2 linked regions of the Stegostoma tigrinum genome follow. The protein of the gene in region 1 purifies or fractionates together with the protein of each later gene. This does not show direct contact. Links are inferred from orthologs where the notes say so. Each region holds a gene or a part of one and is shown on either strand. Other genes may lie near its edges.

Evidence for each region. The genes of interacting proteins can lie anywhere in the genome.
Region 2: the proteins of ccnk (region 1) and cdk12 purify together in Homo sapiens (affinity purification with mass spectrometry; 6 studies listed by BioGRID and IntAct, with this or other methods). This does not show direct contact. The link is inferred for Stegostoma tigrinum from reciprocal best matches to the Homo sapiens genes CCNK and CDK12.

The regions. Positions count from the first base shown.
Region 1 is NC_081363.1:18,537,627-18,544,951, forward strand, and holds the start of ccnk (cyclin-K), read right to left. Parts: upstream 3,012-7,325; 5' UTR 2,946-3,011; coding exon 2,806-2,945; exon of another isoform or gene 2,611-2,805; intron 1-2,610. UniProt on the Homo sapiens protein: Regulatory subunit of cyclin-dependent kinases that mediates activation of target kinases.
Region 2 is NC_081384.1:540,079-547,308, reverse strand, and holds the start of cdk12 (cyclin-dependent kinase 12), read right to left. Parts: upstream 3,027-7,230; 5' UTR 2,479-3,026; coding exon 1,418-2,478; intron 1-1,417. UniProt on the Homo sapiens protein: Cyclin-dependent kinase that phosphorylates the C-terminal domain (CTD) of the large subunit of RNA polymerase II (POLR2A), thereby acting as a key regulator of transcription elongation.

The DNA.
Region 1 (7,325 bases):
AGAACAAAGGTCAACTGTAAGTGTGCTAACTTGACAGTATTGAAATCAGTCAACAATTTAAACTTCAGCATTCGAAATAAATGGTGTAACAAAAAGAAAATGAGTTTGCCAATTTGAACTTTCTTTACTAACTTCTGACCAAGTGAAAGATATGATTATTTTAACAAACCTATGTGTGGCGCCACTAAATACTGAGATTACATCACAGATTAACCGGTTCAGAGTACACCTACAAACTTTGTTTTATTTCAGCTAAAACAGAAACTCGTTAAGGATCATGGGAACGTAGTCTCCATTGTAAACTGTTAAACTATTTGTCAACTTCAGCAAATTAAGTGGTCTCACACTTGAATGCCTTCCATAATTTAAACTGTTCTGGAATTGTGGGATTTCTGCCTTTTGGGATATTATTTGGTATCACCAGTTCCTTGACATTGACTGCGACCAACCCTCTCACTAAGTGTTTTGAGTGAAGCACGCTGCTTGCAACTTTTCTCCTACTTGGTGAAAAATCTTAATTTTTGAACCCACTGCAGCCCCACCACAAAAGACTTCAAATTTCCAACTTAATGCCTATGACCACCATTGACTGCTGAAACCCTTCTTTTGCTCTTTGCCACTCACAGACTCAATTATCCAATACTCACCTTACCAGCCTATGTTTCAGATACTGCAACTGATTCATCTAGAACAAAATTCTCTCCCACATAGGTCCCACTCACCTAACTTTTGCAAACCTGCACTGACTCAATGTCTCAAACTTAACATTTTCATTTTCCATGACTGACTATTCTGATATGACACCAATCTTTAAAATTCTATTAAGTTCGACAAATCCTTTGCAAATTACTTAAGCCATACAAGCACACCCCTTCACCCCCCAAGACTCCTGTATTCCGCCAACTCTGGTTTCTACGCCCCTGATTTTCATGGGTATATGGCTGCCCTCAGCTGCAAGACCACAAGGTCTGGAATTCCTTTCTCAAGGCAACCGTCTAGGTTATAATGCTAACAGTCCCAATTAAAGAGCCATAAAGTGATACTAAGAAAGGTCCAAGATCTTGGTCAGTGTTGAAATGCAATTCCTTTCTCATTGAGCAGGATACTATTGCAACGAACAGCTGTACTTTTTATGGAATGACATAGAAAAAAGATGACAGGCTATGACCTGAAATATTAACTCTGTTTCTACGTTCACAGATATTGCCAGTCCTGTTGAGTATTTCCAACATTTGTTGTTTTTATTTCAGGAAGTGAATGAGATTTGAGGACCTTTATGGAGGGACATCCGTTGCTTAGAGTCTGGTCTGGACAGGAGAAGGAACAGTTAGTATCAGTAGAGCAACTTCACTCCAATTGCTCAATGGGTGTTAATTGGGGGAGTGTTAAGACCTTGGAACTCCACAAATTTGGTTGATATCAAGAGACAGGGAAATGATGCACAAATATCATTCCTTCATTTTTCATTTGGAAAAAGTGTGCTTCCAACATTCTACGCATCTTATTACAAGTGGAAAGTGTTGTGGACATCAAATGTTTTAAAAACCTAATACTGAAGAATTCACAATACTAGTGACAGGTACTGCATTGGTAGAATTGTCACCACTTTGTGACATAAAACTGAGGCCCATTCGCATGGTCTCATACTAAGATCCAAAAGGTACTACTGAAGAGGAGTAGGGGTACCCAGCTAACATTTACTGCTAAAAATACTGAAAACAGTTTGAATTTTCTCTAGCATTTGCATCACCATATTGTGATATCACAATGGATAGGTATTTTTAAATCAACCTCTATGGGGATGTTATGACACACAAAGGCAAAATACCATACATACTGGAAATCTAAGACTAACACAGAATGCTAGAGAAGCTCAATGGTTTGGTATCATCTGTGGAGACAGAAAGAGTTAACTTTGGGTCAAAATATTAACTATGTTATGACACACCTCTTGAACCCAAGCATTCTAGCCCATACATAATGACACTTCCAACTGGACAACAGCAGATATACTTGGAGAGCAATTTCTGAAGTAGTCAGCCAAAAAAAGAATACATTACATTCTACAAAAGAAGCTCCAAAAAAACAGATTTCCCAAATTGATTCTCAGTGTAGATTAAAATAATTTAACGTTTCATCAATATAATTAATCAGTGTTACGAGTGATCAGATTTCCTCAATGACACAACAACAGCAGTTAAGGGGTACAGCGACTCCAAACCACCCAAATGTTCTTACAAAGCCCTTCGCCCTCGCTTCCCGATAATGGTTCAAAGACAAAGTTACTCACGACGCATGAAAAGATTTAAAAAAAAACAAATTATATCCCTTTATTTTGGCCGGGGGAGGGGTAGGAGAGGGGGGGTGGTACGTTGAACATCAGTGAAGTGGGGGGGGGGGGGGTAGTATAATCAGTAGATGTGAAACTGCAATAAAAACCCCACTATTGATCCCTGTCCCCTCCAAAGGGGCTAGGGGCCCTAAACAGCAGTCGGTGCAGCTTTCATGCGAGGCGGGGGTTACAGCTCACAGCCCAAAAGCGAAGCTACCTCTAGTACAACGGCAATAGTCACCGCTGACTACATGTGCCCACCTCGCTCGATCTCTTACCTAAGGCAGTGCTGAGGCCCGGCCTCACACTACACCAAACTCGGCTCCACAGTCAAACAGAAAATCTCCCTCTCGCCCCGACCGTCCAGCTTAAGCTGCTTCCCCACAAACAATCGACTAGAGCGGTCCCAAAAGTCACAGCAGGATCCGAAGAAACAAGGGGAAAGAGTATGAAGGCGGACCAACAAACTCAACTGCTCACGATCTTCCTCTCTGTCCTTCTCCCTCTCCGACACCGGCACTTTCACTCCAAACTTCCCAAACGATTCAGACAGGGCGCCGCCATTTTGAACAAACCACCCCCACACGGACGACGAGTAAACGCACATGCGCATCTGATATCGCTCTTCCCCATTCCTCCACCCTCTAACAACAGGAACGCCAAGTCGTGATCTGATTGACGGCCAGCTCCAGCCCATTGAAAGCCAGCCTTGGCGGGAGGCTGTATCGTCATTCATCCAATCGACGGTATCCGCGACGGGAATGGGGCAGGGTACATTGCAAGGGCTGGGGGCGGGTTTTGACGGTTCAAACTGGTCGGGTGGGGCGGCATGGCTCGTGATTGATGACACTTGGAACCAATGGACATGAGAGCCTCTTGTAGGTGAACCAATCACGGTGGCAGCGGGGTGGGCGCTTTGGGTCGCTATCAAGTTAGGCTGAGAGGTAGCATCAAGCTTGACTGACTGGGGTGATTTTTTCAATCTGCTGTGACTGCCGGTTTATTTTTCCTTCAACAGACAACTGCGGTGTTCAGGTTATTCAGTTGCTCTCTTCCTTCAGCTTTTTTTTTATTGCGATTGGCTTCTATCGGTGTGAAATGCCGTTGGTACCTAGCTTATTTTGCGCGCTTGTGTCTGAGTGTAAGGACATGAGTGAGTGATGGAGCAGGCAGGGCCTGTAGAGCCTTAACCCTTTATTTGGCTGTTGCATACTTTTTTTTAGTGTCAGGGATCATGTAAACCCTCATCTTCACGAAGTCCAAAGTCAGACTTTGGGCATTGCAGGGTTAAAGAGCCAGGTTTAATCAGGACGAGGTAGACGTTTTTTTTAAAATTGGCTTTTAAGCAAATTATTAAACGTTTGTTCTATATAACTTCATTTGGGAGAAGTAGACGTTTGGCGAGAGTGGTTCGATTTTAAGCACGAATGGACAGTGCCACTGACGGCACTGTCTGATCCGTAGCAAGGTATTAAGTTGCTGTAATTTAAATTATGAGTTTTTGCTTGGTGTGTAGCCATCTCGCCGCGGATCAAACGGTGTGGGCTACAAGTTCCACTCGAGAGACTTGAGGTTTGACCATAACCTGGGCTAACGCTCTAATGCCATTAGACAAGGAGTGCGACACGTTTAGAGAGAATTTTTCAGATCAAAAAATTGTACTGTTAGGGGCAGTAATGGCCTAGTGGTTTTATTGCTGGATTGTTAATCCAGAGACCCAGATAATCTTCTGGGGACGAATCAGATGGTGGGATTTGAATTCAATAAAATATCTGGAATTAAGAATCTAATGACCGTGTTGTTGAATGTTGGGGAAAAACTCATTTGGTTCACCAATGTTCTTTAGGCAAGAAAACTGCCATCCTTATCTTGTCTGGCCTGCATGTAACTCCAGATGCACAGCAATGTGGTTGACTCTTAACTGCCCTCATGGGCAATAAATGCTGCCGAGCCAGCGATGCCGTCATTTCATAAATGAAGAAAGAATAAAGACTGTTGTGAACAATAGAAGGATGTTCTCTGTGGTGTCATGGCCAATGTTTATCCGTCAGGCAACATAACAAACCAAATAAACTGACCACTAGCATTGTTCTTTGTGGCATGGTTTACTCTGAACAAATCAGTTGTTATATTTCTTGCTTGACAACTGTTCTTGTAGTCACCTGACCCACTATTCAAGATGCTATCTCTTCAGGCTAGTGAGTTTTTACCTTGGGTCTTTATGCGTCATTCCTGTCATATAGATCAAAGTACTTGGTGGATGAATTGTCACTATTCTGAATGAATAATGGAAAACCCTCACAATCATTGAGGTCAATGATGTTGTACTTTAAGGAGAGCTTCAGAGTGTCCATGAAATATTTTCTTTGGCCTCCATTGGATTATTTCTCATTTGAACATTGAGGAAACAGGAACTGGTGGGGAGGTGATTTTTGTTCGCAGTGATCAGTCTGACAAAATTGATTTTGCTGGGGCTTTGTCTGTTTATTGATAGACCTAGTTCCAGTAGGATACTAGTATTAATGAGATGGTTTTCCTAAATCCAGAAAATCCACCTTCATAGTGGCAATATGTACGCCAAGGGTCACTGCAAAACAGGAATGTTCCCAACATCACAACAGAAATGACCACATTTCAAAAGTAGTTCATTAGCTGTAAAGTGCTTTGAGATGTCTTGAAGCCCTGAAATTTGCTATTTAGGTGCAAGTTTTCTTTTAATGTTTGGTGATTTACACTGCTCTGTGTCTTCTGGAGTGTTGACTGATGCAGCAGCCAACAATTTAATTAATTTTTTAAAAATGGTGTTGGTTGATAAAGGAATAGTTTTTTGAATACCAGCAGACAATCCTTGATTTAGGAAAGTTCTGTTACTTTATTCAAAGTTACAGTATTTCTTGATGGTAGTGATAAATTTACAATAATGCTTTCAACTGATTACTTTTACCAGTCTGGACAACTCTCTTTATGTAGTAGAGAGAGATAATGGGAACTGCAGATGCTGGAGAATCCAACCAAATAAAATGTGAGGCTGGATGAACACAGCAGGCCAAGCAGCATCTCAGGAGCACAAAAGCTGATGTTTCAGGCCTAGACCCTTCTTCAGAAAAAAAAAATTCTGATGAAGGGTCTAGGCCCAAAAGCATCTTTTGTGCTCCTAAGATGCTGCTTGGCCTGCTGTGTTCATCCAGCCCCACACTTTTTATTATCTTGGATTCTCCAGCATCTGCAGTTCCCATTGTATCTGAAACATGTATATGAAAGGCTAGTTGGGCATATTTTGTATAGCTGGACACTTTGATTTCATAGAACTTTAGGGTATGGATTTGAAGGTGTTACTGTCCACTGTTTTACTTTTCTAGGAGGACTTGCCTCAGTGACTAGAATGTGTAAATTGCATGAATGCAATCTCTTTTTCTTCTTCTCTTTTTCTTTTAGTATAACTAACCCCTGATCCATTGCTCATGGTAAGCCAAAGAATGAACTGGTTTTGATTCATAGATGTTTAGTGCACAGGAGGTCACATGGCCCGGTATGTCAATGCCAGCCTTGTTTGGAGGCAGTCCAAAACAAAATTTTTTTTTCTCCTGTATATTGTAAAAGAAATCATAAAAAGCATGAGGGGTATTTGCTCAGATATTCCGGAAGTTAATACTTGATTGAGATGTTATAGGCCATTGTGACAATTCAGGATTTGCCCTTTTTTTTCATTGTGGGAGAGATTGCAGAACAAGACAGATGGAGAATGCGAAAAACTTGATTCGTATTTGTAAGAGAAGATTATCCAACTATCCTAGAAAAAGGAAATAAAGGAGCATTGTTTGAAAAGTTTCAACTCTCCTACATCTAGCTTAGATGTGCTTAATTTGATTCAACGCTTATGGACTAAAACAATTTTTTAGAAAGGACAATGTTCCACAAGTGAATTTAAAAAACAATGTCAGTCATGTGGGGGAAAGCACAGTGGCTCAGTGGTTAGCGCTGCTGCCTCACAGACCCTGGGACCTGGGTTCAATTCTAGCCTCGGTCAACTGTTTGCATGGGGTTTTACTGTTCTCGCCATGTCTGTGTGGGTTTCCATTGGGTGCCCTGGATTCCTCCTACAGTCCGAAGATATGCAAGTTAGGTGGATTGGCCATGTTCAATTTCCAATAGTGTTCAGGGAAATCCAGGTTAGTTGCATTATCTACTAGTACTGAAGTGCAGGTTTAAGGAATGAGTTTGGATGGAATGCTCTTTGACGGGTTGGTGTGCACTTCTTGGGCTGAATGGGGTTCTATGATTATTATGTCGTGATGTAATTCATATTTCCACTGGAAATATGGGTTTTAATTCCTCCACAGATGTTTTGTAGAATTTGATTTCAGTTAATAAATCTGCTTCACTGATACCCCTTAAGGAAGGAAGTCTGCTGTCCTAACATTGTCTGGCCTGTATGTGACTTGATAGCTACAGCAATGTGGTTTACTTTCAACTACCCCACTTGAAGTGACTGAGTAGGTCACTCAGTTCACGGGCAATTAGAAATGGGTAACAAATGCTGGACTTGTTGATAACACCCATATCCCAAGAAATACTAAAGGAAAGAAAACAAAATTGCCCAGACAGATTCTCCAAAAAAAAACTCACATTTATAACAGTGATGTTTTTTCCTGAAAGATAACCCATAGTACTTCAAAGCTAATTTATCTTCTTTGGAAGTGTAGTTACTGTTATTATGTAGGAAACAGGCAGTCAATTTACATGTAGCTAGGTTCTAATCATTTCCAAATAATTTGTTTTTAGCTGTGATAATGTGTGCTGAATCCAAGACTGAGTGTAAGTTATTATTATGTGTAATAATGTTTCACTTATAAATGTTCTGCAATGACATTTGGAGGAGTGAGTTTTCTTGTTTTTTTTCCGTCATGTTTTAGCATTGTATGTTTCAGTAAATGGTTGCTATTTACCAAGCAGAGAAGTTCTTTATAACTAGTTTTAAAATCTTCCCACACCC
Region 2 (7,230 bases), on another chromosome or scaffold:
GAATTGGGAGGTCACGTTATGACTGTACAGGACATCGGTTAGGCCACTTTGGAATACTGCATTCAGATCTGCTTTCCCTGCTACAGGAAGAATGTTGTGACACTCAAAAAGGGTTCAGAAAAGATTTACAAGGATGTTTCAGAGCTAATAGGAACTGCAGTTGGTGGAGAACCTGAGATAACAAGGTGTAGAGCTGGATGAACACTGCAGGCCAAGCAGTGTCATAGGAACAGGAAACAGGAGCAGATTTCTGAAGAAGGGTCTAGGCCTGAAACGTCAGCTTTCCTGCTCCTCTGATGCCAATGTCTTCATTTCAATGTTTACAATCAAGATTTTTACCTCCAGCAGCATTTACCCTCATTCTGCTCTTTGCTAAAGCCTGTATTCACTTCCAGGTAAATTGGTTCATACTGACAGCCTCAACACTTGTTATTTGTACACAGGTTTGTGATATTACAGAAAGTGCTTGTAAATACAGGTGTCAGGTGACTAAATGAGTATCTGGGGAGTGTGGTGTCCTTTGCAGCATCCACAAGAACTGAAGCAATTAAGAGAAAAGGCATAACTGGCTAAGTTATAGCTTAACATCATTGCTCGGTTGGGTAGTGACCCCTCACCTGTAGGACCCTCATGATGTACTGGGGCCTTGTCGTGTACACAATCTGTGCGGAACTCCCCATCATGTATGGAACCCTGCCACTTCCCCTTGTGAATATTTAGGCCTAGCCCACGGAAACGTGGAGGTGACAATAGCTGAAGTGTGCCCATACTCTGGCTCGATTCCTGGCATTCACACAGCTGATCATTAGCACTGGGCTGCAGAAGGATCTCATCATGTAAGCCTTCACCACACTGTTTTCACCAGGGCCCCTTACATTCCAACTTTGCTCTCCAATTTGGATCATTTCTCAGAATAGCTCCTTCTGTAAACTCCAGCACTCAGCCTTACAGCCAACAGTTATTCAGGCATTTCCCATATCCTCCTGCTGCCAGATTTGGAACAGTCCGAGGAGCAGAGGGTCATTATGAACCTGATGTCAGAGCCACTCAAACTGTCTGAACAAAACTAAATCATTCAACACTTTCCCTAAAATAAATCCTTAATTCACTATCAACTTCCCACCACCTCAAGTTGCCCCTGTCTTATTAAAGTGAACAGAAACTGCTGCCTCCAAGTAGCAAGTCTGAAGCAAGACTCAGAACTAGGCCTGAAAGCTGCCATTCAGGAAGTGCTGTGCTGTCTCATTCCCTGGTTGTGACCTATTGGCTAAGGGGGCTTAAAGTTGTCAAATACCCCTTCTCTGACTCCCAACCCTCTCATACTATAAACAGATAAAACATTTCACACAGCAATACACTAATATGAGCTCACAGTACTGTTTTGCACCTTAAGAAATAAGTAAAGTTTAAACTGTACCTGGCCAATGGGCTCTGACTGAACGACCGCCTGGTGCTGTATGGGCTTACTGAGCGTCTCCTGCTGTATGGACTTGGCGACCTTCCACTGTAGTCATACGAGCTGCTGTGTCTGTCGTAGCTGGGGGATCGATGCCTGCTGTAGGGGCTTGAAGACCGTTGTCTCCTGCCGTAAGGACTTGGTGATCTCATGTTATAACCACTTTGGTAGGCTGTGGGCTCCCTGGAACCATAATAGGGGGGGCTGGCCGATTGTTTCCGGCTGGAATCACCAGGACTTCGCCAGTAACCATCATAATTACTAGAAGTCCGTGACCTATAAACAGGACTGGCATCATATCCTTTGCCATATGGCCCAATGGGGCTGTCTTCCCTATTTGGACTTGAAGAATGCTTGCGTCTTGGGCTCCCACTTTTCTTTTTTGGACTGGGAGACGTTCGATAGCCTCGTGGTGTCTCCTTATTTTTCTTTTGACTCTTAGTTCTTTCCTTGTGTGTTGACCGCTCCTCTTTCTTTGCTCTCTCTTTGTACGATTTAGCAGATTTTGACTCCTTGCTGCTGTGCTTTGAGAGAGGCGACGTTCGCTCTTTCTTCCCACTGTCTTCATCCTCCATCACCTGCCTTTTGGAAGAAGTCCTTTCTCTGCTACTCCTGGACTTGCCAGATTCTGGCCTTCTCCCTCGATCTTTAACCCGTTCAGCCTCCTTCATCTTATGGTGCTCCTTAACCCGTTTGTGTGTGTGATGGTGGTGATGTTTGTGAACTTTGACCGCTTTGTCTGAACTCACCCGGTCCTCTTTCTCTCTCCGTTCGGAACGGACGGTGACCTCGGAGAAAGTGTCCGATTCCGAGCTGATGTCATCGTACTCGACCAAAGACTTCACCTTGGTGAGTGGTGTCTGTGTGGCCGCCCCCGGCGAGTCCCTGCTGTGCTTGGTTCGGTGTCGCTTGTGCCTGGACGCTGCTTTGCGCCGCTCTCTGCCGCTGCTGGGGCCAGGCTGCAGGGAGCCCAGGCCACTGCTTCCATCCGCCTTAGTCCCGGCTCTCTCCGAGCCCGGCATCCCACAAAAAAAACAAGAAAATTAAAGTGAAAGTGTGCTGAAGGCGGCCCTGATCCTGATCGTCTGTCTGAACATTCACCCCAAATGTTCCTTTTCTTCCATAATCTTTACTCTGCTGGGCTGCCACTGACAGCAACTTCAGGTCTTTACTTTAAGGCACAAGAACTGGGGCTTGGATTTTCTTGGCAATGTTTTGGCTCCTGAAGATAGTTTTTACAGGATAGACGCCGTTTCCAAACATTAAAAACTTATTTTATTTCGTTTTGAGTTCAGTTGGAGTCCAGAATATTGGATTAGCGAACGTAAAAAACTTGTATCTGGTATCTAAGTTTTTATCAGTAATATCGCTTTGATTCACAGCAAATGGCTCTATCAGCGTGTTTATAAGACATTCTGCAACAAGGTTAGAAACCCTTGAGCCTGCTCTGGCCGATACTCAGGCCGATGGAGGCGGATTACTGGCAGCAGCCTGCCCTCAGCTTTGAAAACACCGACGCCATTGCGGCTTCAGTATCGCTTCGCCGGAAACTCAGAACCTCCAGAGGTCAAACATCTACTTCCGGACCGCCCACTTCTCTCACCAAACCGCAAGAGGGCGCGCTGTGTTGCTGTAGTACCCCTTCTGGACACTGTGTGGCGCAGTGAGCGATGGCAGTAACTCCTCCTGGACACAGGAGGGCGCTCTGCGTGGTTGTAGTGGCCCCTCGTGAGCGCGAGCGGTATACAGTGGGGCTGCAGTACCTCTTTCCTAACTCGTGGTGGCGCTCTACTTCCCCATGTGTACTGGAGGGCGCTGTCCACTGTAATGTCACGATTTGGCCGATTGGCGGCGGTGTAATTACTGCAGGAATATGTTAAATTTTTCTCTAAACTTTTCTGGATGAATGCAATGTCCCTGAGGCCCATTGGGGCAGCAGTTTAGATATAAATACCATCACTGCTGCTTCAAATTATAATTGCAAAACCAATAACAGGAAATGCACGAGGAGGTCAAGCAACAATGTTTATTTATAATCAGAATTGCAGGAGGCCGTTTGCCCCATTATAACCACACGTGCTCTCTGACATTTTAAAAACCAAAAGAACTGCAGATGCTGTCAATCAGGAACAAAAACAGAAGTTGCTGGAAAAGCTCAGCAGGTCTGGCAGCACCTGTGAAGAAAAAGCCTGAGTTAAAGTTTCAGGTCCAGCGACACTTCCTGGGAACATTCTTCTCAGAATGGGCCTGCTGTGTTCATCCAGCCTCACATTTTATTATCTTGGATTCTCCAGCATCTGCAGTTACCATTACCACATTCTTCTCAGAACTTCTGTTTGCAATGGTCACTGGACCTGAGATGTTAACTTTGATTTTATCTTCACAGGTGATGCTGGACCTGCTGAGCTTTTCCACAGATAATAAAATGTGAGGCTGGATGAACACAGCAGGCCAAGCAGCATCTCAGGAGCATAAAAGCCGACGTTTTCGGCCTAGACCCTTCATCAGAGAAGGGGATGGGGAGAGGGAACTGGAATAAATAGGGAGAGAGGGGGAGGCGGACCAAAGATGGAGAGAAAAGAAGATAGGTGGAGAGGAGAGTATAGGTGGGGAGGTAGGGAGGGGATAGGTCAGTCCAGGGAAGACGGACAGGTCAAGGGGGTGGGTTAGTAGGTAGGAGATGGAGGTGCGGCTTGAGGTGGGAGGAAGGGATGGGTGAGAGGAAGAACCGGTTAGGGAGGCAGAGACAGGTTGGAATGGTTTTGGGATGCAGTGGATGGGGGGGAAGAGCTGGGCTGGTTGTGTGGTGCAGTGGGGGGAGGGGACGAACTGGGCTGGTTTAGGAATGCAGTAGGGGAAGGGGAGATTATGAAACTGGTGAAGTCCACATTGATACCATATGGCTGCAGGGTTCCCAGGCGGAATATGAGTTGCTGTTCCTGCAACCTTCGGGTGGCATCGTTGTGGCACTGTAAGAGGCCCAGGATGGACATGTCGTCTGAAGAATGGGAGGGGGAGTGGAAATGGTTTGCGACTGGGAGGTGCAGTTGTTTATTGCAAACCGAGTGGAGGTGTTCTGCAAAGCGGTCCCCAAGCCTCCGCTTGGTTTCCCCAATGTAGAGGAAGCCACACCGGGTACAATGGATACAGTATATCACATTGGCAGATGTGCAGGTGAACCTCTGCTTAATGTGGAATGTCATCTTGGGGCCTGGGATAGGGGTGAGGGAGGAGGTGTGGGGGCAAGTGTAGCATTTCCTGCGGTTGCAGGGGAAGGTGCCGGGTGTGGTGGGGTTGGAGGGCAGTGTGGAGCGAACAAGGGAGTCACGGAGAGAGTGGTCTCTCCGGAAAGCAGACAGGGGAGGGGATGGAAAAATGTCTCGGGTGGTGGGGTTGGATTGTAGATGGCGGAAGTGTCGGAGGATGATGCGTTGTATCCGGAGGTATTCCACAGCTTCAGTTTTTGTCTCTGACATTTTAACTGAGTTCTCGTGTCCGTGTCCCTGTGTATTGTTTCTGTGGAAATTGAGAGCCTGAATTGAACCTGCCTCAACGCATCACATTTTGAAGCTGTTGCTGTGAGAGGTATTGTTTCGTTGCCTCACAAGATGTCTCTTTACTGTTTGTAACCTCTTTTTCTTGATTATTTTATGAGTGGAAACTGTTTGTCCTAATCCGTTCTGTTCAGATGCTCTGTTCACCACTGCCACTTCAGACACCTCCTCAACCAGGGCTCTGTCGTCAATCCGACAGCTGCACACCATAAGCTGACCAACGCCCCAGCCTGGCATGAAGTAGACAGGGTCTAAGTTTAAGAACAGTTTAAGAGCAACAAGGTTACTAGAGTAGATGATATCCTGACTGAGACATTGAGGTGTAGAAGCAAAACGATCCTGCTGCTGCCTTCAGGCCCTTTCTACCTTATCCACAAGGAGGAGAGCACCCTGGGAGAGCTCCACAATGCCACAGTCATGAGTATTTTCATGAAAGGAAACAGTCTGACTGTGGTAACCACAGGGGAATCTCCCTGCTCCCGCCTGTTGGAAAAGTCATCGCCAACATCCACCTCAACCACCTCCTCCCTGTGACTGAGAAGCTCCTCCCAGAATTGCAGCGTGGCTTTTGGCCACGGAGGAGCAGAACAGATGTGATTTTCCCATGCACCAGCTGAAGGAGAAATGCAGAGAAAAGAACCTATCCTGCACGTGGCCCTCTGACCTTACAAAGACCTTTGACACTGTCAGTCAGGAAGCATATGGAGCGCCCTTCTCTGCTTTGGTTGCACCATGAAGTCACCATCCTTCAGCTGCTTCACGACAATCTGGAAGCCATGGTAATGACAAATGGCTCTACTTCCAACCCATTCCCCATTCAGACCAATGTGTGTCATCACCCCAGCACTGTCCCCGATCTGTCTCGCTGCAATGCTTCACCTGACCACCAACAAACTCCCTGCTGACATGGAGCTAACCTACAGAAGTAGCGGGAAGTTATTTCACCTCCACCACCTGCAAACAAAAACCAAAGCCACAGCCCACCCAGTGGCACTGAGCTGCACTATGTGGATGGTGCGTGTGTATGCACAGTGTATGTACTCCAGCACCGTGACGGGGGCATACGGGGTCTCACCCCAAAACATCCACAAGACAAAGGTCCTTCATCAACCAGGCCTGGCAATATGGAGCAAACCCCTGATCATCAAGTCCACAGGGAAGCCTGAGAGAACACTGACCCTTTCCAATATCTCGGGAATGTCCTGTCAGCCAAAGCAGCGACTGATGCAGTGACCCAGCACCACCTGCAGTGTGTTATTGCAGCCTTTGACCACCTGAGAAAAAGGTGTTCGAGAACAACAACATCAGATCCAACACCGAGATCATGGTATACAGAGCTGTGCTAGATCCCACCCTCCTACATGATATACAGATCTGTGGTGGATTCTGCCCTTCTACATGGCTCTGAGACATGGACTGTCTATAGCAGACACCTCAAGGCACTGGCACAATACCATCTACACTACCAGTGCAAGATGTTGTGAATCTGCTGGGAAGAAAGATGCAGCAACCCAGCATCATTGACCAGGCCAACATCACCAGCCTCGAACCACAGACCACCCTTGATCAGCTCCATTGGTCTGGGCATGTTGTCTGCATGATCGACATGCAACTCCCCAAACAGGTGCTCTACTCCCAGTTTCAAAACAATGAGTGAGTCCCAGGTGGACAGAGGAAGTGCTTCGGTGACAGTCTCAAGGCCTCACTGGCAAAGTGTGGCGTTCCTGCAGATGCCTGGGAATCACTGGTCCAAGATGGCCTAAAGTGGAGGAGGACCATCTGGGAAGGCATTGAGCACCTTGAGAGTTGATGTTAGGAAAAAGCAGAAACAGTGTAAGGAGCACGCCAATGTCCCGCGACCACCTTCTGCCCCAAGTGTAACGGAGCCTGCGGTAGCCACATCGGCCTGTACAGCAACATTTGGACTCACCCTGAGAGTGGGACAGAGCCATCCTCGTCAGCGAGAGACCATGGTGATAATCACTACAGCCAATCCATTTCCAATAGTCCCCACCATTGGTGACTTTTCTTTCTCCCAGGCTGACCATTACCCAATCAGAAAATTATTTGAAAGTTTTGATAATTTCTATCAAATTTCCTCTCAGCCTTCGTCGCTCCCAAAGTATCCTCATCACTGACTTATTCTTGTGAACAACATACCCTCGAAGCCTCATGGCTGTATCCCCACTCAGAGGTTCTGTATAAACTAATCACTGCCAG